Linked DNA regions of Macaca mulatta. The protein of the gene in region 5 purifies or fractionates together with the protein of the main gene of each other region. This does not show direct contact. Links are inferred from orthologs where the notes say so. Each region holds a gene or a part of one and is shown on either strand. Other genes may lie near its edges. The genes, in order: RAB8A, RAB4A, RAB8B, RAB1B, GDI2, RAB1A and RAB10.

What was found.
Region 1: the proteins of GDI2 (region 5) and RAB8A purify together in Homo sapiens (co-immunoprecipitation; 5 studies listed by BioGRID and IntAct, with this or other methods). This does not show direct contact. The link is inferred for Macaca mulatta from reciprocal best matches to the Homo sapiens genes GDI2 and RAB8A.
Region 2: the proteins of GDI2 (region 5) and RAB4A purify together in Homo sapiens (co-immunoprecipitation; 3 studies listed by BioGRID and IntAct, with this or other methods). This does not show direct contact. The link is inferred for Macaca mulatta from reciprocal best matches to the Homo sapiens genes GDI2 and RAB4A.
Region 3: the proteins of GDI2 (region 5) and RAB8B purify together in Homo sapiens (affinity purification with mass spectrometry; 3 studies listed by BioGRID and IntAct, with this or other methods). This does not show direct contact. The link is inferred for Macaca mulatta from reciprocal best matches to the Homo sapiens genes GDI2 and RAB8B.
Region 4: the proteins of GDI2 (region 5) and RAB1B purify together in Homo sapiens (affinity purification with mass spectrometry; 3 studies listed by BioGRID and IntAct, counting the BioPlex papers as one, with this or other methods). This does not show direct contact. The link is inferred for Macaca mulatta from reciprocal best matches to the Homo sapiens genes GDI2 and RAB1B.
Region 6: the proteins of GDI2 (region 5) and RAB1A purify together in Homo sapiens (affinity purification with mass spectrometry; 6 studies listed by BioGRID and IntAct, counting the BioPlex papers as one, with this or other methods). This does not show direct contact. The link is inferred for Macaca mulatta from reciprocal best matches to the Homo sapiens genes GDI2 and RAB1A.
Region 7: the proteins of GDI2 (region 5) and RAB10 purify together in Homo sapiens (co-immunoprecipitation; 3 studies listed by BioGRID and IntAct, with this or other methods). This does not show direct contact. The link is inferred for Macaca mulatta from reciprocal best matches to the Homo sapiens genes GDI2 and RAB10.

Annotation. Positions count from the first base shown.
Region 1 is NC_133424.1:16,585,546-16,589,642, reverse strand, and holds the start of RAB8A (ras-related protein Rab-8A), read right to left. Parts: upstream 2,801-4,097; 5' UTR 2,788-2,800; coding exon 2,664-2,787; intron 2,314-2,663; exon of another isoform or gene 1,722-2,313; intron 1-1,721. UniProt on the Homo sapiens protein: The small GTPases Rab are key regulators of intracellular membrane trafficking, from the formation of transport vesicles to their fusion with membranes.
Region 2 is NC_133406.1:19,757,053-19,760,552, forward strand, and holds part of RAB4A (ras-related protein Rab-4A), read right to left. Parts: intron 2,638-3,500; coding exon 2,523-2,637; intron 1-2,522. UniProt on the Homo sapiens protein: The small GTPases Rab are key regulators of intracellular membrane trafficking, from the formation of transport vesicles to their fusion with membranes.
Region 3 is NC_133412.1:40,520,678-40,524,886, forward strand, and holds the start of RAB8B (ras-related protein Rab-8B), read left to right. Parts: upstream 1-1,409; 5' UTR 1,410-1,495; coding exon 1,496-1,619; intron 1,620-4,209. UniProt on the Homo sapiens protein: The small GTPases Rab are key regulators of intracellular membrane trafficking, from the formation of transport vesicles to their fusion with membranes.
Region 4 is NC_133419.1:8,138,660-8,141,990, reverse strand, and holds the end of RAB1B (ras-related protein Rab-1B), read left to right. Parts: intron 1-1,182; coding exon 1,183-1,314; intron 1,315-1,408; coding exon 1,409-1,603; 3' UTR 1,604-2,831; downstream 2,832-3,331. UniProt on the Homo sapiens protein: The small GTPases Rab are key regulators of intracellular membrane trafficking, from the formation of transport vesicles to their fusion with membranes.
Region 5 is NC_133414.1:7,371,540-7,375,784, forward strand, and holds the start of GDI2 (rab GDP dissociation inhibitor beta), read right to left. Parts: upstream 2,801-4,245; 5' UTR 2,623-2,800; coding exon 2,578-2,622; intron 1-2,577. UniProt on the Homo sapiens protein: GDP-dissociation inhibitor preventing the GDP to GTP exchange of most Rab proteins. By keeping these small GTPases in their inactive GDP-bound form regulates intracellular membrane trafficking.
Region 6 is NC_133418.1:59,583,319-59,587,313, forward strand, and holds the start of RAB1A (ras-related protein Rab-1A), read left to right. Parts: upstream 1-1,195; 5' UTR 1,196-1,376; coding exon 1,377-1,399; intron 1,400-3,995. UniProt on the Homo sapiens protein: The small GTPases Rab are key regulators of intracellular membrane trafficking, from the formation of transport vesicles to their fusion with membranes.
Region 7 is NC_133418.1:98,862,983-98,866,482, forward strand, and holds part of RAB10 (ras-related protein Rab-10), read right to left. Parts: intron 3,407-3,500; coding exon 3,305-3,406; intron 1-3,304. UniProt on the Homo sapiens protein: The small GTPases Rab are key regulators of intracellular membrane trafficking, from the formation of transport vesicles to their fusion with membranes.

The DNA.
Region 1 (4,097 bases), on a different chromosome or scaffold from region 5:
CAGTGGCTCATGCTTGTAATGCCAGCACTTTGGGAGGCCAAGGTGGGCGGATCATGAGGTCAGGAGTTCGAGACCAGCCTGGCCAACGTGGTGAAACCCTGTCTCTACTAAAAAAAAAAAAAAAAAAAAAAATACAAAAATTAGCTGGGCATGGTGGTGGGCACTTGTAATCCCAGGTACTCAGGAGGCTGAAACAGGAGAATTGCTGGAACCTGAGAGGCGGAGGTTGTAGCGAGCCGAGATTATGCCACTGCACTCCAGACTGGGTGACAGAGCGAGACTCCATCTCAAAAAAAAAAGAGGGGGGGTTTGTGGGGAAGGTGCTGAGGCCGGGAAACTGGGATCTGAGTGAAGGCAAGCCACAGTCTGCCCACAGTTAACATAATTTCTTTCTTTCTTTCTTTTAAGATAGGGTCTCGCTCTGTTGCCCAGGCTGGAGTGCAGTGGCGCCATCACAGCTCACTGCACCTTGACCTCCTGGGCTCAATCAATCCTCCCATCTCGGCCTCCCAAGTGGCTGGGTCTATACGGGTAAGCCAGTATGCCCGGCTAATTTTATTTTATTTTTTATAGAGATGGGGTTTTGCTATGTTGCCCAGGCTGAATTAACGCCACTTCTTGATCGGCTGGGGCACAAGAGTTACCCTAAAGTTTGGCCTTGGAGTTGGGGAGGGGGAAGAATTCAGAACCATCTGTCTTCAGAGGCTGGATGCTGTCACTGCAGGAGCCATTCATTCATTTGCTTCTTCGAGATGGCCTCTGGTTACGGTGATAACCCCTTATTGTCTAATTCTAATCCTCAACCACCAGGGCACTAGCCCAGGAGACAGCGTCACTCCTGCTCTAAAGACAGCAGGGCTCAGAGAGGGGCAGTGTATGTTCAAGGGCAAACAGCAATTGGAAACCAGACGTAACGATTTCCAGTCAGTTCTCTCTACTTTACATCAGGCATATAACTGTTTTATAAAGCACAGCTATCCTGGGTGCAGTGGCTTATGCTTGTAATCCCAGCACTTCGGGAGGCCAAGGTAGGTGGATCACAAGGTCATGAGTTTGAGACCAGCCTGACCAACATAGTGAAACTCATATTTACTAAAAATACAAAAATTAGCTGGACGTGGTGGCGGGTGCCTATAGTCCCAGCTACTAGAGAGGCTGAGGCAGGAGAATTGCTTGAACCCGAGAGGCGGAGGTTGCAGTGACCCGAGATAGCACCACTGGATTCCAGCCTGGGCAAAACAGCTAGACTCCATCTCAAAAAATAAAATAAAATAAAATAGAATAAAATAAAATAAAATAAAAAAAGCACAGCTCCTGGAGGGGGGCAAGAATGGAATCAGCACATTATCGTGGGGTTCAGGGAGAAAACATGATTCTGTTGAAGTGACACAGTAAAGCAAAGGCCATTCCCTACGTTTTCGTGACTTGGAATAAACTCCTTAGTGACCGTTCCCCCATTTTCCCCATCCCTAGCAGGGCTACAGAGCTCCCAGGCCACTCAGACTGGTGTTACTCCCCGGTCTAACCTTTTCATTGTGGGCCAGGACTGCTTTTGTGGCACTGAGAGAGGTCAGTTCCACTTCTGCAGACGGCACAACTGAGATGCACCAAGCCAATTCTGTTCAACCACAATGTGGGCTGGCCCTACGGGAAAAGCTGTTCTAAAGTGACAACCGGAGTCTTGGGCCCTTTGATAGGGAAGTCAAGGCTGTCTGTGGCAGTGGCTGATTTAGTTGCTCGCTGAGGCTTTTATCTTGCATCTTCTTGCAGATGACAGGTTCCAGGGCAGGCAGTGCTGTCACTTGTCATTACTGTCATCCTGGAGCAGGATGAAATGTGGGCAGGGAAAAGGTCCTGACTCCTCTTATCATTCCTTCTAGAGGAAAATACACTTATGAGGGGAAGAATGGTCAGGGAGAGGGGTTCAACTTCTGAATACTCCAGAGAAAAGAGCAGGAATGGTGTGGGTTACAGTTCCGGCTCCAAGGTGCATTAGCTGAGCTTGTCATCAGCTGGGAGTGTGAGGTGGCATCTCTCTAGGATAGCTAAGCCTCGAGTTTTGGGTTGAGACACAGCCAGGTTCAAATTCCATCAAATCCCATTCTCACCACCTGCAGACTGTGTGGCCTTGGGCAAGTTCCAGGCCCACCCTGAGCCTCAAATTCCTCATCTGTGAGACGGGCTCAAAACAGCACTTAACACCGAGAACTGGAGAGTGTGAAAATGCACGGGAAGCACTTGGCACATAGTAAATGCTCATTAAGGTGAGATGTCACCGTCTTTTTCCCATGGCCAATTCCCCATGACTCAGTTTCCACTTCTGTAAGGCAGGAGCCTCAAAAGAACCGCTTTGAGGGCTGCTGCTAGGACAGATCGAGAGGACGGGCGCGAAGACCCCAGCCCAGGACATAACACTCCCTAACGAGCGGGCTGAGGGTCGGAGCCTCAGTCTCCCCATCTGCAAAATGGGCACCTGGTCTCCCCCACCACGGCCCAGGAACCTCCGAACGGCGGTACAGGCGACTGCTCTTCTCCCCTTAGGCCCCCTCGACCCTCTCAGCGCCCTCGGCCAGTCCAGCCCGGTAGATCCCTCAGCCCCAGCCCCTCAGGGGCGCGCCCAGCCCGGGCCTCTGGCGCCCCCAGCCACTCCCCGGTCCCGCTACCTATGGTGGAGATAAAAGTGGAGTTGAAGGCGTCCTCGGAGAAGCGGAACAGGACACAGGTCTTCCCCACCCCCGAGTCCCCGATCAGCAGCAGCTTGAACAGGTAATCGTAGGTCTTCGCCATATTACACTCTCTCCCCGACGGGAAGTGCGGCCAGCGCCTCTCCACTGGCCACCAGCACCGTCCATCAGCGCCGAGCCCGCCCCTTATTGGCTCCAGGCCCGCTGCGCGTCACCGCGGCCGACGCCCGCCCCTGCGTCCCGCCAGTCGCGGGGAGACCTGGGGAGGGGGCGAATGGAGCGCGGAGCCGGAAGCAGCCCGAGCGCACCTCCCATTGGCCGGCACTAGGGAGAGGACGGGCTCTGATTGACCAGCAGTGAAGAGTCGTGGGGCTTCAAATGGGGACGAGGCGGGGGCGTGGCATTATGTGGCCCCCGCCTTCCACCCCCTACTCGGGCGCCCCGGCCCCGCCCCACTACAGGAGAGGGAAGGCAGGGAGCGTCGCCAACGGCTCGCGCGCCGGCAGCCTGGGGGGCGGGGCTTGGGGTGCGTGCGCACGAGCGCCCGGAGTTCCGTTAGGCGACGGCAGAGGGCGCAATCCTGTACTTGGGGCGGGTATCTCTGGGTCCCGCCGTCACAACTCGCGCAGGCGCAATAGGCCCCGAGGCGAGCGCGGGAAACCATGGTAGCGCTCTCAACCTGATCTGCGGCCTCCGAGTCGGGGCAGCGGGGGCCGACGGAGGAAGGAGAGAGGAGACACTGTATACTCGAAAAGTGACCCGGGCCGGGCGCGGTGGCTGAAATCCCAGAACTTTGGGAGGCCTAGGCGCGTGGATCACGAGGTCAGGAGTTCAAGACCAGCCTGGCCAAGATGGTGAAACCCCATTTCTACTAAAAATACAAAAATTAGCCGGGCGTGGTGGCGGGCGCCTGTAATCCCAGCTACTTGGGAGGCTGAGGCAGAGAATTGCTTGAATCTGGGAGGCGGAGGTTGCAGTGAGCCGAGATCGCGCCTTTGCACTCAAGCCTGGGCGACAGAGCAAGACTCCATCTCAAAAATAAATAAATAAATAAAAGTGACCCAAGACGAGTTCCGAGGTCTGCGGCCTAGCGACCTGCTTACAGATACCCAAGGCCTCCGCCACCTGAGCGGCTTCACCGCCACAAGCTATGCCCCGAAGCGCGCGCCGGCCTCCTCAGGGTCCGCCCTCGGCCGCTTTAGGAGTTGTCCGGGCCAGCCCGGGGGGTTTAGAACAGTGAGGATGCTTTAGAACAGTGAGGATGCTTGTTCCTATCTAGGGGCCAGGACTCTCAACACTGAAAAAACAGGCCGGGGCTGTGGCTGCCACCTGTGATCCCAGTGCTTTGGGAGGCCAGGAGTTTGAGGCTGCAGTAAGCGGTGATCGTCCCACTGCACTCCAGCATGGACGACA
Region 2 (3,500 bases), on a different chromosome or scaffold from region 5:
TTCATTTTCCCCTTTCTCGGTTCATGCCCTTGTCCTGGTGAAGTATATCCTCCTAAACTTTCTAAGAAAGTACATTTCTAAGAAGTCTCTAAGAAAGATAATCTTGGCTTCCTGCTCATTCTTGCACATCTGTTGGTATTCAGCCTTTACTCGCACAGTTACAGTTTGGCTAAGTTTAGAATTTTAGGTTGAAGAATTATTTCACCCTGAGTTTTGAAGGCAATACTTCCATTTCTTTTAGCCTCCAATGTTGCTGTGGCAGGGTTCAAAGCAATTCCATTTCTCACACTGTATATGTGGCTGCTTTTTCCCTCTTGGAACCTTTTTGGTCTCCTTTACTTCATCTCTGGTGTTCTGAAATTTCACATGACATGCTCTGGTCTGGACTTTTTCCTTACTATGTTTGATTTTAGGTGGGCCAATTAATCTGGAATCTCATTCCTTCAGTGAAACGTTTTCTTCTATTGTTTCCTCTGCTCTTCTCTCTTCTGGAACTCCTAATAGTCAGGCATTGCATCTTCTGGATTAATTCTGAATGATTCTTTACGTCATCTCTCCCATTTTTCACCATGAGTTTACTTATTATTCTGATTGCTCTTTTTAAGTATGACTTTGTTTCTATTACTTACTTCAATGCAATCTCTGCTCTTCTTTCTGAGGATACTGTGGTTTTAGTGTGATTTTCTTATTCCCTGAAAGTTCTAGCTTCTTTACTTTGAGCTCTTTCTTTTGCTGTAGAAACTTTCTTCAAATTTCTGCCTGATCATTAAGAGCAAGGAATGAAAAAGTCTAAAAGCAGCTCTTTATGTGTGGGTGAAGCGGGTGGGCTTGGAGGGTTTCACTGTCAGATGACTGGATAGAGATGGGGCTGTTTCTCTGGGAAAGCAAAACACAGTACCTTCAAGTCTTTCCTTTCCGACTATTCATTTTTCTAGAGAAGGCTCTTTTCTCTTTTCTCCTATGTGGGACATACACACCTGGCTGCCAGTGACCAGGGAAGAGGTGGGCGGCAGGGGGCGGTGGGGGGGCGGTTGGGGGCCAGAGGCTTTCACTTTCACTTAATTTCTCTCTTTTCAGGCCTGACCCCGTGCCCTCAGGTGGGCCTTATGACCTTGAGTCTAGACCCCATTTCAACGTAAAAGACTGAACCTCTTATTTCGTGTGTAAACATGAACCTCTGTAACGTCTACCTCCTGTAGAACCTGATGCTTCCAAATGCTGACCTTTTCTGGGACTCCGGAGGAAGAAATGGCTTCCCCCATTACAGCACTTAAGGCAGAGCTCCTTCTGCTGTCACAGCACCATCTACTTCCTATCTTTAAGAAATTTTTTGGAAATCTCTCAACCATAATTGTGCACTCTCTCAATCTTGGCCTTTTTGTATTAATTCAATTTCAGTTACTTAATAGATATTTCAGTGGGGTTCTGAGAAGGAAAAGGCATACATGTCTAATTGAATCCACCGTGTTTAATCAATGCTTCCAGAAAAATGATGGTGATTAAAGGTGGTTATGGTATTTTTGAAGCAATTATTGAACTTCAATTACTTAATTAATTTTTGAGACAGAGTTTTGTTCTTGTTGCCCAGGCTGGACTACAATGGCATGATTTCAGCTCACTGCAACCTCCACTTCCCAGGTTCAAGCGATTTTCCTGCCTCAGCCTCCAGAGTAGCTGGGATTACAGGCACCTGCCGCCACGTCCAGCTAATTATTTTTATTTTTAGTAGAGAAGGGGTTATACCATGTTGGCCAGGCTGGTCTTGAACTCCTGACCTCAGGTGAGGAAGTCTACCTCGGCCTCCCAAAGTGCTGGGATTACAGGCATGAGCCACTGTGCCCGGCCAAACTTCAATTATTTAATATAAGATATATACTCAACTTTAAGTGAAACGTTTACAAATGGGGTGGATTTCACTGAATTATAAAACTATCTGCTCTGACTGTGCATCTGTGCAAAAAACACAACTGAAATATTCATCTATTTTCTTACTTTAGTAGTTACAGAATACTAAACATGTAACCTCATTTGCAGTGCTGAAGTCATTCTGAGCCTCAATTATGACCCTATTGTAATAAAAGTGTGGAGAGAATATTTTGTGGAGTGTGTATCAAACATCAGAACATGCTCTAGTTAATGTAAAACAAAACAAACCCTCACAAGAGGTTTTAAAAAGTTCTTCTTTAAAAAAGGAACACAGAAAAACAAGCTTGTGCTTTGATGTGAATCTAGAAACATACTGTACAATACACAGTGTCACATCCTCCTGAGAACGGGTCAGCCTCCGAATGATAATGCGGTTGCCTGGAAATCCTCCTGTATTCTTTAGTAATCCATGCTGCACAGAGCTAACCTGAATTTTAGCTGTCTTGTCAAGCAAAGTTTCCAAAAATGAAGTTTCTGAGATTAGGACAAGGAAGGGGTGTGTTGGGGAGGGGATGAGACCTTACATATTGAGAGAATATCATCAAGTATTTCAAATCAAATTTTCAAATATTTTTATTAAGTTAGAGAAAAGCTACCTGAATCGTTCTTGTCCTGCTGTATCCCATATTTGTAACTTTACATATTTACCACCAACATTTATTATCTTTGAACCAAATTCCACTCCTATTGTATGATTTGAGTCATCTTTGACTAAAAAAGAAAAACAAGAACAGCATATTTAATTTTAGAACATTAACAGGCTTATAAATTTAAACAAGTGACACTAAAACCAAGAGTTACACCAATGGGGAATGGACGTTAGCCATTCATTTCTCCAACATTCCACTGAGAAGATGCATTTAGTTTAAAAGATAATACACATAGCCCCTATTCTCCAACAGACATAAAGATTTTTCTCAAAACCCCTAAACAAATCATACATTTAAAAACCTATGCCTGAAGGTAGCCCTGCCATACCCGAACCACATGCAATTGTGCGCTGTGAAGATGCTCACAGATGGCGACTGCTGACGTACCAGGTACCATTCTGAAGGGCGTAACGCCCAGTGACAGGTCTGGAACTCAGTAAGTAATGAGGTGGAGACAGTTTCAACTACTGTATTTGAATGGTTAAATATTCTAAAGAAATAACAGTGAATGGAAGGAAAAGCAGGGGAAAAGGGAAAAGGAGGAAAAAAATTGAACCAAAGAATAAACACCCTCCAACAAAGCCCAAAACACCCTCCAACAAAGCCCAAAACAAAACCCTATGCGATCTACAGGTGTTTGAGCTTTTATTAATTGTAGTGTTCTATGGAAATGATTTGGGATGAATTTGTTGGAGAAATTAGTACTATTTGAATGGGCAGGAGAGAGGCAAAATAAGTATTTTGCTAAACCCAGCGGGAATACACTGCCTATGAAAGAACATTTCGGTGATGATGAACAGATAAGCTAAAATTGAATATCATGGCTATACAGTCCATTGGCTAGTTTGTATTTTGTAATTGCAGAACAAAATTTAATTTTTCCAGGGATCAGGGATGCCACTTGGCAACTGGATTTATTATTCA
Region 3 (4,209 bases), on a different chromosome or scaffold from region 5:
GGTGTTTATATAGCTAAGATAAATGGTAAACGTCTGGACCAGAGGTTCTTAAACATTTTGGTTTCAAGACCCCTTTATCCTCTTAAAAATTATTGAAGACTCCAAGAAGCTTTTGTTTATGTGGGTTTTATCTGTCCGTATTTGACATATTAGAAATTAAAACTTTCAAGGGAGAACAACAGATGAGAGACAGAGAGCCCTGGCAGGGTAGACTCCTGGTCCCACACCTCCTTAGCCTTTTGCTTCCACATTACCTGAACCAGTCAACTCCCTTTTCACAACAGCTAATCCGGTTGGGTTTCTGCCACTAGCAAATGAAAGGGGACTGAACAATACACCCACAAAACAAAGAATTAGCCTAAGACAATAAATAATAAAGGATTAACTTGAGTATAACAGAATACTGTTTCCCCCTATATTCGTCATCAGTTAAGTGAGAGCCTACTGAAGACTAATGAATATTACCATCAATGCTAACAGTGCCTTATGGGTTTCAAAGAACTTCCACATTTAGTATTTAAGTTTCACTAGAACCCTATGAAGTATCTTGTTTCATATCCATTTTACAGATGAGAAAACTGAAAAGTACAGTGTTTGCGTGACTTGTCACAGCGGTTATGCAGCAAACCCAAGACTAAATTGAAATCTTACTCTCTAAATTCCCGTGGCCCGGTTCCCGCCTCACAGGACGCTTGCAGTTTTATGGGGCACAGACCTGTAGCACAAGGTTTCCCAGATTTAAAAATCCATCCTCCTGCGAGGAGAGAGGAGCGATCAGCGTAAAAGATTCTTTGAATACTCATCGTATTTGGCTCTGGTCTGTGTGGCTTGAAGAAGGGGGCACGAGTGAGGTTCGAGTTAGCATGGTAACCATTCTTTCTCAGCTCTGTGACTGAGGGGCTGCCGGAGGGGGGTTATAGTGGTTCTGGGCATGGCCTGGGGGAGAAGCTGGATAATGCACTCTGCAGATAACCCGTAGGCTGCGCCACAGCAGCGCCAAGGAAAGAAAGCATCTCTGCTCCAGGTCTCGGCGGAAGAGATGCGGGAACTACGGGACTCTGATTCTGAGGTCCTGGATTTGGAAGGCGCCCGCACACAAAGAAATTACAAAGTTAAGTTCCGGTGGCCCTACCAGCAGAGTTCGAAACGGGGCGTCCCTTCCCAGCTCGGGTGGAAACGCCTCCACCCTGTCACCCCGCCCATAGCAGGTCTTTTATCCGCTGGAGCCGCCTGGACAGTCCGCGCGGGGCACGCCCGAGGCTCCCGGGAGGAACTACAAGTCCCATGAAGCCCCGGGGCGCGGGCGGTGATGACGAAGCCCTCGCGGATTGGCCTCACGGGGAGGGGCGCGCAGGCCTTCTCTGAGAGGAGGGGCGGGGCGCGGGGCGGAGCGAGCAGCGGCGGATTGGCGGGCACGCCCCCTCGCCCGCGGCCCCCTCCTCGCTTCTCTCCACTGCCTCCTCTGGCTCCCCGGTCAGAGGGCCGGAGCGAGAAGATGGCGAAGACGTACGATTATCTCTTCAAGCTGCTGCTGATCGGCGACTCGGGGGTGGGCAAGACCTGCCTCCTGTTCCGCTTCTCAGAGGACGCCTTCAACACCACCTTCATCTCCACCATCGGTGAGGGAGGGGCCGCGGCCCGGGACCGGGGAGAGAATTGGGGGGCGGGTACGAGGGGACGGGGAGAGGGCGGGGGGCGCTTGGGAGCCCGGGAGAGGAGATCCCGGGGACTGCAAGGTGGCGGGGGCACTGAGAGGGGCGAGGGCGTTTGAGGGAGAGGGGCGAGCGGGAACGTGAGGCTAGGGCGAAGGGGTAACTTGGGGGCAAAGGAAGGGGAAGGGGAACAGAGGAACAAGGACTAGGGGTATTGGGGGAACGAGAGGGTTTGCAGACTGACAGGGAGGGGTCTTTGAGGGACAAAATGTGTTGGGGGAAGACGCAGGAAATCTCGTGTAGAGAGAGAAGGGGATAGTGGACGTGCAAATGGATTAAAAGACAGGAGAGGAAGGAAATGTGAAGGGGGAAATGAGGGATGGGGCAATGAGAGGGATGTGAAGTAAAGGGACAGAGGACACAAGGGACAGAGAGGTGAGAACCAGGCAACTGGAAGGGAATTCAGGGGAATGAGCGGTCAGGAGGTGAGGAAGAAGGGGACGGCTGGCCACAGGAGGTCTGGACCGAGATGTCGTAGGAGGGGGCAGAAGAAAATTGTAGGTGGAAGAAGAGTTCAAGGGATTAGAGGGCGGAATGAGGATACTTGGTGGAGAAAGTAAAGGAGATCTGGGTGTGAGACAGAAAGGAAAAGAGGAAGCAACATCATAGTAAAGGGAGGTTGAGCAGAGAAGACAGAGGAGATGGAAAAGAGAGGAAATGGAAAGTAGTGGGGCGCAGGACTTGCTCCAGTAACTGATTACCATGTTCTCTTTACTTCCTTTGGATCAAGTGCAGGAGAAAGCAAAATGTGACTAATGATGGAATAATGTCTGTAGAGCGTTAATTTGTTCTGTGAGTGTTAATGGATGTTAAGGGAATTGGTGACTTTTGGAAATGATGTGGTCAGGAAAATATGGTTCACCTCTTTACTATGATCTCCTGAGAAGCAAGACTTCTCAGTATTTTAAATCCTTGGGTTTGAATGTTTAACAACTTCTCAGCCAAGGAATTGATCTTATGTTCTACCTGCCTCCCTGTATATTTTGCTTTGGTTCTAATTATTGTTAAATGAATCACAACATGTGATACACCTCTAAGTTACTTCCAATTGATTCAAGAGTCTTTCTGATCTTGGCTGGGAGCTGTCCTTTCTACTTTTGTACTGGAAGACCCTGTGTTCAGGTAACAAAATCTCTTAACTTACCATAAACTGAAGACCAAGTCAAAGCTGGTTTTAAGCTGTCTTAGAAGTGACCACCTTAACATCATTTCTCCTGTTAAATAGCTGCAGGTTAATTAAGTACCTTAAGAATATCTCAGCTTTTGGTTGTCTTGGTGATGTTTCTGGCCTCTAATAGTGGCTTATTTAGGCATCTTTCATATGGTTCTTAGAGCATATTTCCCCATGAATTTCTGGGTTGGGAAATAATAGAGAGCTAGTGCTTTGGTAATACGTGTGTTTAAATATTTGTGTATTTTTAAAAATAATTTATCTTTTTTTTAAAAAAGAGTATTTGGTGTAGAACACTCTTTAAGTATTAGAAAAGGCTATGGTTTGTTTGCTCATTCTGGCTTCTTTCATATAGCTTGAATGGTCTAAAATCTCCTGGGTGTTATGATGTCTGGGCTTAAGGAAGTTTGAATTGCAAGTTCTTGGCAGTCAGTCTTGAGTGGGACTTTTTCTTTTCTGAAAAAGCAGATTTTAAATGTCATCTCTAAAGTATATTCCTAAGATTTGGTGGTAGCTGCTGGTACAGCAACTAAAGGGCGTTAATTTTTGACACTGGTATTAATTTCAAAGCCTCAAATAATGACTTTTCATTGTTGAATGCATACTGCAGTACAGATGGTAAAGGATAATTTCTAACAAGTTGAGTGGGTGTCCTTTTGTCCATTCTGTATTTGAGCCTCCCAGAAGTATCTCCTGCCTTGAAAGTAAGTGAATCTCACTGATGCTGTTTTTGTTAAGCTTCTTGGATAACTTGCTTGTTTGTGATAGCTTTATTCATTTTCTGTTTTTTCCTTAATTTTTGTCCCATGTTTCCTTTAAGGGTGTCTGCTTCCTTTTAAAATAGTACCTTTTAAAAATTACTTTTCATTTTGAAGGGTTCAAGTCTATCAGTGGATTTCAAAAAATGATGGAAATGAGGTTCTTTGGAGGGTGACAGCTATGAAGGCATGAAAACCAGTGCTCTGAAACAGATTAGAATAGGAAGTGAACATGAAAAGGAGGTGAATCTCATGTGAGATCTTGGTCTTTATATTTTCTGTGAGGTGGATGTGGTAAAAAGAGGCTGTGAGCTGTGTCTTCAGTTGACGTGGAGGAGGGGAAATCCCGTACCTCTTATTTAGCCCCAGAGCTCCAACAGGAAGTGGTAGCACACTGCCTTCAAACAGCAGAATTTATATACCTGAAACCTAATGCTCTGCAGTCAAAATTAAGCTGGGAAAATAAGGTGAATGTTAGCATCATTCTGGTTCCACAGACTCTTCACTGATTACAAGTATAGATTTTGGGTGTTGACATCTCTAGCAGCCACTCCCTGCATGCCCCTCA
Region 4 (3,331 bases), on a different chromosome or scaffold from region 5:
CACTGGCTCCTGGTTGTCCAAGACTTAGCCAGGCTGAGACAGTCTGTGCTCTGGCCTCTCCCCATTCCCCGCTCTGTCCTCCCCCGTCCCCTCTCCCCTTTCCCCCTCTCCCCTTTCCCCCTTTCCCCTTTCCCCCTCTCCCCTTTCCCCCTCTCCGCTTTCCCCCTCCCTATTGAGTGCATCCCAGCAACATTCCACTTCCTCCCATTCCCCAGAGACATCATGCCCCTCCCATTCAGTGACCTGGCACATGCTGGCTCCCCAGCTGGCACCTCTCCTGCACAAGGCCAGTTCCCACCTGCAGGCTTAGGCCTGCTGTTGCTCCCACCTCAAGCAGAGGTGGTCTGGGGGCTCCCCGGTCCCTGCCTTCTAACCTGTTTTGCCCTTGTGTGTGGCCTGGTCTATTCCTCTGCTGTCCCGTGAATGTGTTAGGGCAGGACTCGGGTATGATTTCCCCCTTTGTCCCCAGCACTTAGTGCAGGACCCAACTTGGAACATGGCAAGAGTTTGAGCCAGTCTAAGTTTGAGCCAGTGTGATATCATCAGGCCTCTGGCTCCTAAGGAGGAAAAGTGGCACTAGCTTGAGCACTTTCCTGAAAGTCCTGTCCTTTGTGTGTGGGGTAGGGGCAAGCTGCTGGAAGAGTCTGAAGCCGGGTCATAAGGCTGTTGGTGCCAAAAGTAGGATGAATTTTAGGCTGTTCCCAGGAGTCCTGTCTCGCCATGGGCCAGGGCCGCCTCTGAGAGGACCCTCGACCTCCTGCGTTCCAAGGCTACAAACCTTAAAGGGATTTTTCAGGCCACGGTGGGAACTGTAACTCTTGCAGACCTGTTACTCTCTGTTCCTGTCTCCCCTCCACTCTCTCTTTGCTTCTCACATGTGGTTAGGCCTGCAAGTGTCTCGGGCAGAGACAGCTGCAGGGAGCAGAGCTGGCAGGCCTGGGTTGGAGCAGCTGTTGAGGTGCTAGGGCAGCTGGCAGGCTGCTGGGGCTCTTCTGGGTCTTGGATGGAGGAGGGCAGGGAGGAAGGTTCAGCCTGGAGCAGAGGGCTTCCTCTGCATCCCTGAGCCGAGGACTCAAGGGGCCCAGAGCTGTACTGTTCCCCTCAGAGAAGGTCTTGTTCTCCAGGTCTGGGGTAGGGGTGACAGTTGGGAGCAAAATAACTTTGGCCCCTGGCCCCCTCTAGGAGTCCTATGCCAACGTGAAGCAGTGGCTGCAGGAGATTGACCGCTACGCCAGTGAGAACGTTAATAAGCTCCTGGTGGGCAACAAGAGCGACCTCACCACCAAGAAGGTGGTGGACAACACCACAGCCAAGGTAGCAGATGGGCCGGTCTGCCTGGGCTGGGGGCGCTGGGGCCTCCTGCCCCTCACCCTGCTCTCCCCTCCTCTTCTCTCCTCTCCGTTGTCAGGAGTTTGCGGACTCTCTGGGCATCCCCTTCTTGGAGACAAGTGCCAAGAACGCCACCAATGTCGAGCAGGCGTTCATGACCATGGCTGCCGAGATCAAAAAGCGGATGGGGCCCGGAGCAGCCTCCGGGGGCGAGCGGCCCAATCTCAAGATCGACAGCACCCCTGTAAAGCCGGCTGGCGGTGGCTGTTGCTAGGAGGGGCACATGGAGTGGGACAGGAGGGGGCACCTTCTCCAGATGATGTCCCTGGGGGGGTGCAGGAGGTGCCTCCCTCTCCCTCTCCTGGGGCATTTGAGTCTGTGGCTTTGGGGTGTCCTGGGCTCCCCATCTCCCTCTGGCCCATCTGCCTGCTGCCCTGAGCCCCAGTTCTGTCAAGAGTCCCTAAGGGAGGACACTCAGGACCTGTGGTCAGGCAGGGCAGGGGCCTGCTCTGCTGCTGCCTCTAGGTGACTTTCCAAGATGCCCCCCTACACACCTTTCTTTGGAACGAGGGCTCTTCTGTCGGTCTCCCTTCCACCCCCATGTATGCTGCACTGGGTTTCTCTCCTTCCCCTTCTTCCTGCTCTCCTTCTGCCCAAGAGCTGAGGTCTCCCCGGCCTCTACTGCCCTGGCTGCAGTCAGTGCCCAGGGCCAGGAGAGTGGCCAGGGGATCCAGGACCTGGGATCCAGGGCCCTGGGCTGGACCTCAGGACAGGCATGGAGACCACAGGGGCCCAGCAGCCCACCCTTTCCTCTCCCCACTGCCTCCTTTCCCCTCCCACACTCCCAGCTCGAGCCGTCCAGCTGCGGTGGGGTCTGAGTATATCTAGGACGGGTGGGTGGGTAGCCGCACTGGGCTTGTGTCTTGAGCCTGGAGGGAGTCTGCTCCTGCCGCCCTCTGCCCTTCCAGAGACAGACCCGTGCGCTGCCTGCCCAGTGTGCCCCTTTGTCCCCACGTCAGGCAGAGGCGGAAGGCCCACTGTGCCAGAGGCTGGGCACCAGCCTTAACCTTCTGCTAGCACCTCCTCCCCTTCCCCGAGGCAGCACATCTGGCTCACTCTCCCCTGGGTCTCTGGAGCCCACCAGGGAAGGCCCTCATCCCCTGCCGCTACTTCTCTGGGGAATATGGGTTCCATCCGGGGTTGGGGGCCTCTCTGCTCATCCACTCTGCACCCAGGATCCTAGTCCCCTGCCCTCTGGCACAGCTGCTTCCTGCAGGAAAGCAAGTCTTTGGTCTCCCTGAGCAGCCATGTCCCTCGTGCTGTCTCTTGCCTGTCCCACCTGTGCCCTGCCCTCCAGCTTGTATTTAAGTCCCTGGGCTGCCCCTTGGGGTGCCCCCCCGCTCCCAGGTTCCCCTCTGGTGTCATGTCAGGCATTTTGCAAGGAAAAGCCACTTGGGGAAAGATGGAAAAGGACAAAAAAATTAATAAATTTCCATTGGCCCTCGGGTGAGCTGAGGGTTTTTGCAAGGAAGTTGTGGTGGACAAGTGTGGTCTCTGGTCTAAGTCCAGCCTTGGGGTGGGGGGATGGAACTGGAACCCTGGGCTTGATGGGGTGCACGGGGGTCCTGGCTTGGTTTCTGCATCTTAAGGCTGCTGGTGAAAGCCCTTGACCCCGTTTCCTGGGGCCAGGAAAGCTGCTTGTGCTTCTGTGGTCTGTCCCCAAGGGCCCAGCACCGTTCTGTCAGGGAGAGAGAGGGCAGCCATCAGCTCATACCTGGTGTGCCGCCGCCAACTCCCACGGGGGACACGGCAGAGGTGTGGGGTCGTGCAGCCTCTGAAAGGGCCCCCACTGCACCTGGCCCGACCTCCTTCGGCGCCCCCCAAAACCCCGCTGCCCCCATTCAGCCCATGTCCTCGCTTCGCTGTGTGTCCCAGCCAGGTGCTTCTGCCGCCTCCGACAGTGACAAGTGCCTCGCACTTCAGCCTCTGCCCTGCGCGCCCG
Region 5 (4,245 bases):
TTATGTTAGTTTGTTAGAGAAGTTGTGACAGCATTTAGAAAGGCATTATCCAAAAGCTGTGCTCTTTAGAGATAACCCTTAATTCCTTAGAAAATTAAATTGTGTGGAATATTCCATTTCTTTTACACACAGAATGAAGATTTTACTCCTTTATGCCAAATCATTTTGTATCTTCTTGATTAAAATGACTATCAATATTTGTGATTACGAGCTTGGACTTAACAACTCATACAAACAATGGCAGCACTAAGCAACACAGCAACTCCAGCACTTCCTTACACTTCTTTAAAAGTAACAAGTTCCTAGCACTGAAAGCACTTGCCTTTTTTTAGGTTCTTAAATCTCAGGCACTAAATATAAAGTAAATTTCAAGAAAATTAATTTAACTCCAGACACTCAAAAGTTAATTCTGAGTGCTAACTTTGGTTTTCTCTTCTTCTAATTTTTAGTCATCTAATTCCTGGTAACACTAAAAATAAGGATATAAGATTTCTCATTATCAAAATCATCCTGTCATCACTACTCCTATCAAGGATGGTAATAATGTGATTCTTCTGAATTGATATAATTATCAAAGAACATCTCAGAAAACTTAGGCAGGCTAACAGAGATTAAAGTTATCACAGCTACAAAATGACAGCAGAAATTGGTCTGATTTCTAGTTAAGTATGCATCTACCATTTATCAAAAAGTTCACAATCCAAATGAAAATTTAAACGAAGTGCATTATCTTAACTTGTTATATAAAAAGACTGTTTCACCATCTTTGATACAAAGTGATGTGAATGGGGCTTGTGGAAGCCTGCATGATGGTGGATTTGCACTCACTCGTCCATGCTCAACTGACCTCGATTGTGAGCAAATCTGAAAGACCAGCAACAACCATAGAAAAACGGTGGAACTAACCGGCTCTAACAACACGCTGGCAGCAGCACTACCCATTCCAACGGGCAAAATCCACCACAAACTACTAAGCGCAGTTTGGAATCCCAATTAGGCACTTAAAAAAAAAAGCACAAAACCTGCAGTGGGTAGGGCCTATTCATTTAGGCATCCAACAGCCTTCCAGCTTTTCAAAGACATTGACAGGATTATTCCTGAATTTGTCAAACATAACAAAGTATTCTGAATGAATATTCTCTAATAATTGCATATAACTATAAACAGAAAAATGACAGGCCAGAAAAACACCATTCTAAGTCTTAACAAACCTTTCCTAAAAAATTAGCCAAATAAAAGTTCAAAGGTTTTTTCTTGACTAGAGACATTTAAAAGTGTTATTTTGGGACGTTACCTGTAAAAAAAAAAAAAAAAAAAAACATTAGTTTGAACCTGACAGATTATAATAAATTTCAAAAAATTTGAAGTGGAAGTCTACATTAAATGACACAGGAATTTAAAGTCAGAGTACATAGGATACACAAGATTTACATCAGTATTCATCTTAATTATGATCAAGCAGCCCAAAGTTAGAATTTCAAAGTTCCCAAAAATCGATAGTTAAAATGGTTTTCTCCAAATTCTTTTGCAAGATGAAGTCTTCATAAAAAAAAAAAAAAAAAAAAAAAAAAAAAACAGAAAAAGTACAAACTACAGAACCTGCCTGCATTATCTACAGTTAACCTAAAGCTCTCTAAGCAGACACATAACCAGGAAAATCAATATACCATGGTATTAGGTACACCTTGCATTCATATATATACTACAATGCATTCTTCATGTTGTTACTGATTTATCTTCCAACTCCCTGAAGAAAGCTTCGGAGTACAGAGAACTTGGCCTTTAGCAATCCATCACCAATCCAATTCTTAGGGGAAAAGAGTCCAGAAGAGACAAAGGAGGCAGGGAACCCACCAAACAAAAGGAAAAGGCGGCGAAGGTCAGGTGCGAAAGCATTTGATAGACAAGTTTTGAAAAAACTCAATTCCAATTCTACAGATGCTCGGTAAGTGGGAAGGGAGGGTGGCTAAAAAGATTCAATAATACTTCTTATTAGCAGGGGGGAGAAAGGATTAAAAGCCTAATTTCTGCCTTTTCTCCAAAAATATAAGTTAATCAAGCCCTAGCAGTTCCGAAGCAGTGATTATCCAAGACTTGTCAGGAAACCCCGTGCTCGGCTTTGGCAGCCAGACAGACCCGGGGAAGCGGCCGAGGCGGAATAGGAAATGCAACCGCGAGGCCTGCACCGTCCCCTCCGCCTCGGGTGCTAGTTTCCAACCCGGAGAGGTCACTGGCCCAAAGTGGGGAGCGGGAGCCTCGGCCCGGGCCGCCTTCTCCCTCCACTCCGCTTCCGCAAGGGGGAAGCGCAGCGGCCGGGCTCCGCCGTTACCCCGCCCGGAGCCTCGCGGCCCGCATCTCCATTTCCCCGCCTGCCCCTCACACTGGGAGTCGCCCGATCGTCCCGGGACGCGGGGCGCCCCCAAACCCGCCCGTGCCCCCAGCCACGACTCCCGTCCCGAAAACCACGGCTGACTGCAGAACGAAACCCCCCAGGAGCTGCGACCCGCGGGCCGTGCAGGAGCCGGGGATGCGCCCGCCCCGGCTGCTCAACCCCGGCCCCTCAGCCCCGGCGCCCACCGTCAGGCCAGTGCCCAGCACGATCACGTCGTACTCCTCATTCATGGCGGGGCAGTGGCGGACGCAGAACCAGAGAAAGGAAAAGGCGCAGGGGCTCGGTGACCACCCTACGAGGCTGGGAGGCGCTCTCGGGCGCGAAGGAAACGGGAAGAGAGGAGAGGAAAATGGAGCTGGCGACAAGGCGAGACCTGCCGCCACCTCAGACGGGAAGCGAAGAACCGGGCGGGGAGAAAAGGGGAGGGGGCAGGGAGGGGAGGGCGGTGACTGAGCCTCCGCAGCCGGGGCGGGGCCTGCAGGCGCCGGGAGGGCCGCCAATCAGGCGCTTCCGGCACTCTAATTGGTTTTGTCCCCGTCACTCGCCCAACTTTTTTTCTTCCCCGCCTCTCGCGAGAGGAAAAGGGAGGGGCGTCGCCATTTTGGCTTCCGGTTCCCTTTGCGGTTTCTGCCACCGGGGTCTGGGAGGCGGCGCGTGGACCGGGGTGGAGGCGCACGGGACCGCGGGAGGGGAGTACTGCCGGCCACCACGGTTCTGACTCCCGCCGTCGGGGCGGGAGCTCGCTCGGTCCAAGGTCCCAGAGCCGGACCGCCGTCCTTGGACTTTGAGCGGGTGCTTGCGGCGGCCACGTGGGCGAGGAACGTGGGTCCGGCCGCCTCTCGCGGGTAGCGGCCTTGGTTCCTCCCGCGGGGCTGGGCTCGCCGGGGCCCGGAGCCCGCCGGGAAGAGTTCGGAAATCACACGTGTCCTGTTTCCCGCTCTGTGCCTTCCCTGTTTGGTGCGTTGCCGGTGGGCGCTTTAGGAAAGTGGTAGGAGGAAAAGCGGCTTCTTTTGCTAAAAGGAACCCTTAACGGAGATGAAAGTGAAGGCCAGGTTTCATTGGGAAGCCGATCCGCACTTACCCAGGGCTATAACTTAAAGCCACTGTAAACGTGGTAGCTGATCCTTGGATGCAAAGGTTTAGGCCCTAAGCTTAGAAACTGTACCTTGCTTGCCTTTTAACCCCCTCCTCTTTTTCTAGAATTCTCTTAGGAATCTCTAACTTCATTGAGGACACGGGTGTAAGCAGAAGCTGTGTTCTCAGCTCCAAGAGGCAAATCCCACGAAAGCCTAGGCAGGTGAATTTCCTAAAGGCGATGACAGTTGGAAAACCTGTGTTTTCAGCACGTGATAAATCTGCATAGTCAGCAGACAATGAAGATTTGGCATTCAAGAACTACTCAAATACTTCTCGGTAATAGCTATCATGAGCCTGCCTTGATAGACCGAACTTGCTCATATTTAAATCATCAAGATTGAGGAGAGAATGTAACAACTTTTAAAAATGTTTCTTAACCCGTAAATACTTGGAGAAGATGTGTTATATTGGACCATGGACCTTTTGCAAGGGGAGGGGAGAAGAAAGCAAAAGTAAAGTTTAAATTTATATTCAACCTTAATTTGATTGTGTATATTTGTCACCAAATAAATTAGTGCAAAGTTGACCATACAACTGATTATGCAACAGTGAGTGTAACTGACTTTTCTTTTGGCTAAGCTAATGATGACTAAAGAAAGTCCTTCTGTTGCTCTGTCTTCAAGTCATCAGGGGGTCATACTATACACTACCTGTATTTTTGGACCAATATGAAATACCTTTTTTTTTTTTTTTCCCCTGAGACGATCTCGCCCTGT
Region 6 (3,995 bases), on a different chromosome or scaffold from region 5:
GAGCTGATTAAAGAGAGCTGTTAAGACCACATGTTTTTAAAAAATGAGTTAATATTACTCCCAGAAATTGTAGGCACTATATAGTGATGAATTGCATGTTTTTATTGCTTATTATTTTCCAGTCTTGCAGAAAGGCTCAGGATTAGCAGCAACTACAAATAATACATTACAATTCAACCTGAAGGCTGGGACGAAGGGAGGAGGACTTGAATTTTAGGCTGGCTCTGGGCTGTGCCTCTCCCATCCATGGGATGTGGAGCCATTGAAGGTTGTGGGGTCACGATGGAGTTGCTGTCTCAGAAAGATACATTCGACTGTGTGTGCAAATGGGCTGGGGCGGAGGAGAGAGAGAGAGGTAGAGTCCATCTGGAGACTACTGCAATAGCCAGGCTGACGAGAGCGGGGCACAGTAAGAATGGGAAGAAATCCAATAAGAAAATGGTAGTGCGCGGGGCCAACAATGGACGATGACCGAATAGAGGTGGGTCTGGGTGAGTGACGAGAAGTAAAGAACTGCTCCGTGCTGTCCAGGGAGCCCCTTGACTTCCCTTCTGTCCTTAGAGCGGACGTCCTCCGACCAGCCTCCAACCAGCGCCACCAGGGTGGCGCAAGCCTCAAGCTGGTCAGGTCAGCAAAAGTCGCATGGGAGGCAGGAGCCGACACGCGTGTCCCCCGACCCCCTCTCCGCTCCCGCACGCCGGCAGTCCCTCAGTTTGACCACTCCCTCCGGTCCTTTGCCTCCCGCGACCCCCAGCCTCCGTCGGCCGCCTGCACCACCCTCCGCCCCTCTCCGCCCCCTCCTCCGTGGGGCGCTGACTCGCCCGGCTGCCACGTCTCACTGATGACATCACCAGGGCCGCTCGGTCTTAGCCAATCCGCCAGGGGGAGTCCGAGCGAAGTCCTAGCCAGCGAGTCAGAGGGGAGGGGAACAGGGAGGGGCGGAGGGTGGGGAGGTGAGGGAGTGGGGAATGGGGCGGACGACAACCCTTCAAGTACGCATGCCCCAGAGGCGCGGCGCTTGGCGGGAAGCTGAGTCCTGGCCTCAGCGCCTCACTGTCTATCCTCAGCTCGCGTAGCTGCACTCGCGACTCCCTTTCCCGGCATGCCAGGCGGTGCGGCCGCCCTCTGGGCTGTGTAAAGGCCCCTCGGTCTAAGGCTTCCCTATTTCCTGGTTCGCCGGCGGCCATTTTGGGTGGAAGCGATAGCTGAGTGGCGGCGGCTGCTGATTGTGTTCTAGGGGACAGAGTAGGGGAAGACGTTTGCTCTCCCGGAACAGCCTATCTCATTCCTTTCTTTCGATTACCCGTGGCGCGGAGAGTCAAGGCAGCGGCTGCGGCAGCAAGGGCGGCGGTGGCGGCGGCGGCAGCTGCAGTGACATGTCCAGCATGAATCCCGAATAGTGAGTTCAGGAGAGCACCGGTCGGCTGGGTCCGTGGGCCAGCTTGGGGGATTTTAAAGGGGGCGAGGAGGGTTGGGGCGGAAGTCGGGGCATCGGCTGGGGTGAGGCGAGGGTGATGGGTCAGGAGAGGCTGGCGGCCGGGAGTCGGGCCCCATTGTCTGACGCGGAGGGGCGGCCGGGCGGGGGAGGGGTCGGGTCGGAGGGGTGAGCCGCCCGGGCCTGGACCGGGTCCGGTTGGAGGGCCTGACTGCGGGGCGGGTGCTTAGGAAGTCTGCCCAGGGGCCTGAGGCGGTGTGAAGAGGTAGCTTGTCTCGGAGGCAGTGACTTTTGAAGGAGGACTTGTTTCTAAGAGGAGGGGATGGGGTGGGAGAACCCTTCTAGAGGGCACTGGCAGACCCTGCGCCCGCACTCTGCGGAGCTGTCAGGATCCTCGGGGTGGAAACCAGCTTTACTTGTAAATCCTGAGCTTGTTGGCTCTCTCTTCTTCCATCCTCCCCGCCAGGTTTCAGGTAATATGGATGCTTTTCGGGACTGCGTGGGATTGAGGGGAATGAGTAGATAGGGAGAAGCAACTGAACATTTTTTAGTTCTCTTTTTGAGTTGTGCCTTGAACGAGTTCTTTAAGAGCTCGCCGGGTCCATTGCCCTCCTAAAAACCTGGGCATTTGTGAGTTTTTTTTTTTTTTTTTTTTTTTTTTTTTTTTTTTTTAAAGAGGACACCTAAGTCATTTTGTCTTCTGTAGGTCAAGGGAAAAAAAACCCAAAAAAACAACTAAAGCCAAGGAGTGTGTTTCTGATACTCGCAGATTAAAGGAAGCTTGCTGTCAAGTTGAAAGAGAAACGAATGGGACCTATGATAGATCTGTATGTAGTTTTAGATTACCTGCTTGGATGCTTGCAGATAGGGAATGAGGTTCCATGACGTGTCATGAAAAGTTAATGCATTTCTTTTTCTTGCTTACTCAAGAAGTCACCACAGCAGATGTGACACACCTGGCACCTTTCCTGGGAACTGGTGTTCACTTCCTTTGGGTAGAGTTTGTTGGACTCTCCTCAGTGGCCATTTAAAAATTTCCTCTACAGTTTACATGTATGTAAAGTAATAAATAATTGTAAGAGACCGAATTGGTATTCCTTTTCAGTGTCAAAGGCCTTTGAGGGATGGGGGAAAATCAGTATTTGTTGTAAAAGTTGAGTTTATTTGCTGCTTTGGTCAATTACTGCTAAACATTTCCCCCTAAAAGGTCCACTCACCAGTTTAGCTGACTGTCATATGTGTGTCACATGGCTCTTGCAAAATGCTTTCTTCAAGTTTTGTAATACTGTGGCTTGATGCTGAAATCTCTTGCACTATACAGAAACCATAGTATTTTATTAGAATTTCATGCTTTAGAAGTTAAGGATAGTGTTGTTGTAGTGACATTTGCTGTGTTGACAGTTTAAAACAAATTTTTTTTTTCAAGGGCTCCAAGGACAAAGTTGGTTTTGCACAGTTGAATGGAGTTGAACTTGAGGTTCTTCATTTAGTAGTTTTCTTGGTAACAATAAAGAACATGGATTTACTGCTTTATCGAGGTTTATAGACCTCTACTGTTCAGGAAATTTTCTGAATTTGCTATATATATGTATGTTTATTACTATAAATAAATCTTCAAGATTAGTTGAGAACTTTGACAAGTTACTTAGCCTCTGAATTTTTTTCCCTTTTTGTAAAATAGGATAATTGGAGTCATTATTCCTGTCAGGGTAGTGGTGAAATTCAAATGTATATAAAAGAATTTGGAAAACTGTATGAGCATTCTTCAGGTTGTATGCATCATTTTCATGAAAGGCATTCTATTAGTACTAGGATTTAGAAATATAATCCTTGCATTTAAGAAGTTTAGATATAGGCCGGGCGCCGTGGCTTAGGTCAGTAATCCCAGCACTTTGGGAGGCCAAGGCGGGCGGATCCCGAGGTCAGGAGATCGAGACCATCCTGGCTAACACGGTGAAACCCCGCCTCTACTAAAAATACAAAAAAATTAGCCGGGCGTGGTGGTGGGCGCCTGTAGCTCCAGCTACTCAGTCTGAGGCAGGAGAATGGCGTGAACCCAGAAGGCGGAGCTTGCAGTGGGCCAAGATCGGGCCACTGCACTCCAGCCTGGGCGACAGAGCAAGACTCCGTCTCAAAGAAAAAAAAAAGAAAAAAAAAATAATTTTTTTTTTTTGAGAGGGAGTTTCAATCTTGTTGCCCAGGCTGGAGTGCAATGGCGCAAATCTTGTCTCATCGGCACCTCCGCCTCCTGGGTTCAAGTGATTCTCCTGCCTCAGCTTCCTGAGTAGCTGGGATTACAGGCATGTGCCACCACGCCCGGCAAATTTTGTATTTTTAGTAGAGACGGGGTTTCTCCATGTTGGTCAGGCTGGTCTCAAACTCCCGAGGTGATCCGCCCGCCTCAGCTTCCCAAAGTGTTGGGATTACAGGCGTGAGCCACCGCGCCCGGCAGAAATAGGTTTTATACATGTCGAATACCAGTAGATATAGCAAATTCCAGATGTATGGCATGGATGAGAGCAGCAGGATTTCAGGGGGATGGTGGGTTGTGATTGGCTAT
Region 7 (3,500 bases), on a different chromosome or scaffold from region 5:
TATTAGTATACTAATACTTTAACCTTTAATAATGATAATAAGGAAAGCTCTACCTCACTGGGGCACAAAATTATATATATAATGGCTATATAGCACTATTTAAAAAAAAAAAAAAAAAAAAAAAGCCAAGACTGATGAGAAGATCAAAGGACATAGTATAGATAGAAACTAAGCAGAAACCACGAAGACCAAAAAGCCCAGAAAGAGAAAGGACATAGAGCCAAGAGTGTTTCACTAGGTCTTGTGGTAACTCCTGCCAGTCTTATCCTGGTCTTTAACTCGACTGTGAATACTGGATAATGTTTCATCCTGACCCACCAATGTCTGAAATACAAAGTACCTTCAACCAATTTTAAAAGAAGTATTTTTCTATTTCTTTTATTCCCTTCATTTAATTAAAAATACAATTTTTGGTACGTGGCTCACACCTGTAATTCCAACACTTTGGGAAGCCAGGGCGAGAGGTTCCCTTAAGGCCACGAGTTCAAGACCTGCCTGGACAACACAGTGAGACCCCTATCTCTACCAAAAAATCTGAAAATTAGTGAGGGATAGTGATGTGTCCTCGTGGTCCTAAGCTACTCAGAAAGCTGAAGCAGGAGGATGACTTGAGCCCAGGAGTTCAAATCTAGCTTGGGAAACAAAGATCCCATCAATTAAAAAAAAAAAAAAAGAGAGAGACCGAGCTAGGCTTGATGGCAGACCCCTGTGGACCCAGCTACTAGTGTATCACTGGAGGCCAGGAGTTTGAGGCTACAGCCAGCATGATCACACTTACGAACAGCCACTACACTTCAGCCCTGGGCAACATAGTGAGACCCTGTCTCAAAAAGAAAACAAAAAAAAAAGTCAGAAAGAAACACATTTTTTCCTAGTTGTATTCTTCTATTCTTTTGCTCTTCAAAAGAACAATAAATAATATAGATTTTCTCAAGAAATTCTAATGGGTTCACCTTAATTGTGAAAGACTGTTCTTTTAAAAAAATCTTAAAATTGCTTATAATTCAAAAAAGAAACCTGTTGAAATTTCAAAACTAAACTGCCTATAGTCAGTACATGAATCTGCCCTATGATCTCTCCCCCTTACCACCATCACTCTCTTGGAGTGCTATTTGGAGTTTGGTATCTACCCTTCCAGTTCTCCATTTGCTAAAAATAAAATGTATCTGCATGTACATATGTCTGTTTGGTATATCATATAATCTTGAAAAATGAGATCACTTCACATTTTATATCCTTTTTTTTTTTTTTGAGACGGAGTCTCGCTCTGTCGCCCACGCTGGAGTGCAGTGGCGTGATCTCGGCTCACTGCAAGCTCCGCCTCCTGGGTTCACACCATTCTCCTGCCTCAGCCTTCCCAGTAGCTGGGACTACAGGCGCCCGCCACCACGCCCGGCTAATTTTTTGTATTCTTAGTAGAGACGGGGCTTCACCGGGTTAGCCAGGATGGTCTCAATCTCTTGACCTCGTGATCCGCCCGCCTCAGCCTCCCAAAGTGCTGGGATTACAGGCATGAGCCACAGTGCCCAGCCCCTAATTTGCTTTTTATCACTCAATACACACACTATGGAGATCTTTTATACTTAGTTTAATTGTTGTCAGCCTCTCTCATTCTCTGAAATAAAATTCAATTTTTGATCTGACTGGATTCTCATAGAAAAACATCTCCTAAAGCAGGAAGTCCCAAAACATGATATGCAAAGGAAGCTGGCAGATTCAAAAGGGCACCCATTTTTTAGCCCCATTAAAGAGCAATAACTGATGACTGTTTTTTCCAGTTTGAATATTCAATTGTAGTAAACAGATACCTACATTTCACTCTAAAAATTAGGTCCCTTGGTTTTAGTCACTCTATATAAAGAATTTACTTCAATGTAAGTATTTCAACTCAATCTCTTGTAATTGCTCAGAAATTTCACTAGATTTATATGTGACATACCACCTTTATTACAGCTAATGTCTCTGTCCTTCCAAAGTGGAGAAAGAAAAAAAACTGGTTGGTTAAGAAAATGTAAAAACAAACATCTACCTTTTATATAGGTCGGTTTTAGAAAAAATATTAATATTTCAAATATAAAAATAGAAAGGTTACCAAATGTAATTACATTTTCTACTATACAACATCTGCTTCTCTTTTAGGATGTGTGTCAGATTTTTTTTTTTTTTTTTGAGATGGAGTCTTGGTCTGTTGCCAGGCTGGCGTGCAGTGGCGTTATCTCGGCTCACTGCAACCTCTGACTCCCTGGTTCAAGGGATTCTTCTGCCTCAGCCTCCAAAGAAGCTGGGATTACAGGCATGTGCCACCACACCCAGCTAATTTTTGTATTTTTAGTAGAGATGGGGTTTCACTGTGTTGGCCAGGATGGTCTCATCTCCTGACCTCGTGATCCGCCTGCCTCAGCCTCCCAAAATGCTGGGATTAGAGATGTGAGCCACCGCGCCTGGCCAATGTATGTCAGATTTTATCTGTATTTATTTGCATTTAAAATTACAACAGATTGAACAGATAATTCAGAATTCATAACCAAATCCATGCATTATACCTAGTCACTTGAGGGAAAATATGAAAATCGGATTTCCTAATTTGGCTACATGTTACTTATACTAGCAAATATTGAGAGTCACAAATCTTAAGCCCAGAAACAAACCTGAGGTAAAACATGCATTCCTCAAGATCACATTTTCAGCATTATTTATTTTCTTACATAATAGGTTTTATTCAGTATGTACAGAATATGTACATGCCCTTTATTTGCCTGAGAAGTGACTAATATGGCAGAATAGCAATTCTGTGGCAATAACTACTTAATAGATTCATTTCTTATCTTAAAATTTCCTAAATTATCTGAGACTGCAAAGTACTCATTAAGAGAAATGAATCCAATAATAAAAAGGCTAGAAAAGATGAAAAACTGGAAAAAATAATGGAACTAGGGACTAGACAGTGACTGTGGAGCTTGCTACCTGAGCTTCGCCTCCCGTCAGATCAGTGGTAGCATTAGATTCTCACAGGAGTGCAAACCCCACTGTGAACTGCACGTGCAAGGGATCTACATTGCACGCTCCTTAGGAAGATCTAACGCCTCATGATCTGAGGTGGGGCAGTTTCACCCAATACGGTCCATGGAAAAATTATCTTCCACAAAACCAGTGCTTGGTGCCAAAAAAGCTGGGGACTGCTGCCCTACAGAAACAATACCACCCAAACTCAAATTCTGTATGTAAATACAGTACTTCAGAATAGACAAAATATTCAACAGAGATACACTCAGGTACCTGGCAGGAAGTAAAAATAGGAACCTACCTTTCGAAGGATATCTTCAGCTAACGTGAGGAACGCCTTTTCGATGTTTATATTTGCTTTTGCACTAGTCTCAAAAAACCTAATACCATGCTCCCTTGCAATCTAAAACAGAAACAAAATATCATCATAAAATTATCAAGCATGGGTTGCCAATTGCTGACTTTAACATCTTAAATATTAATCTTATTCTGAAGGC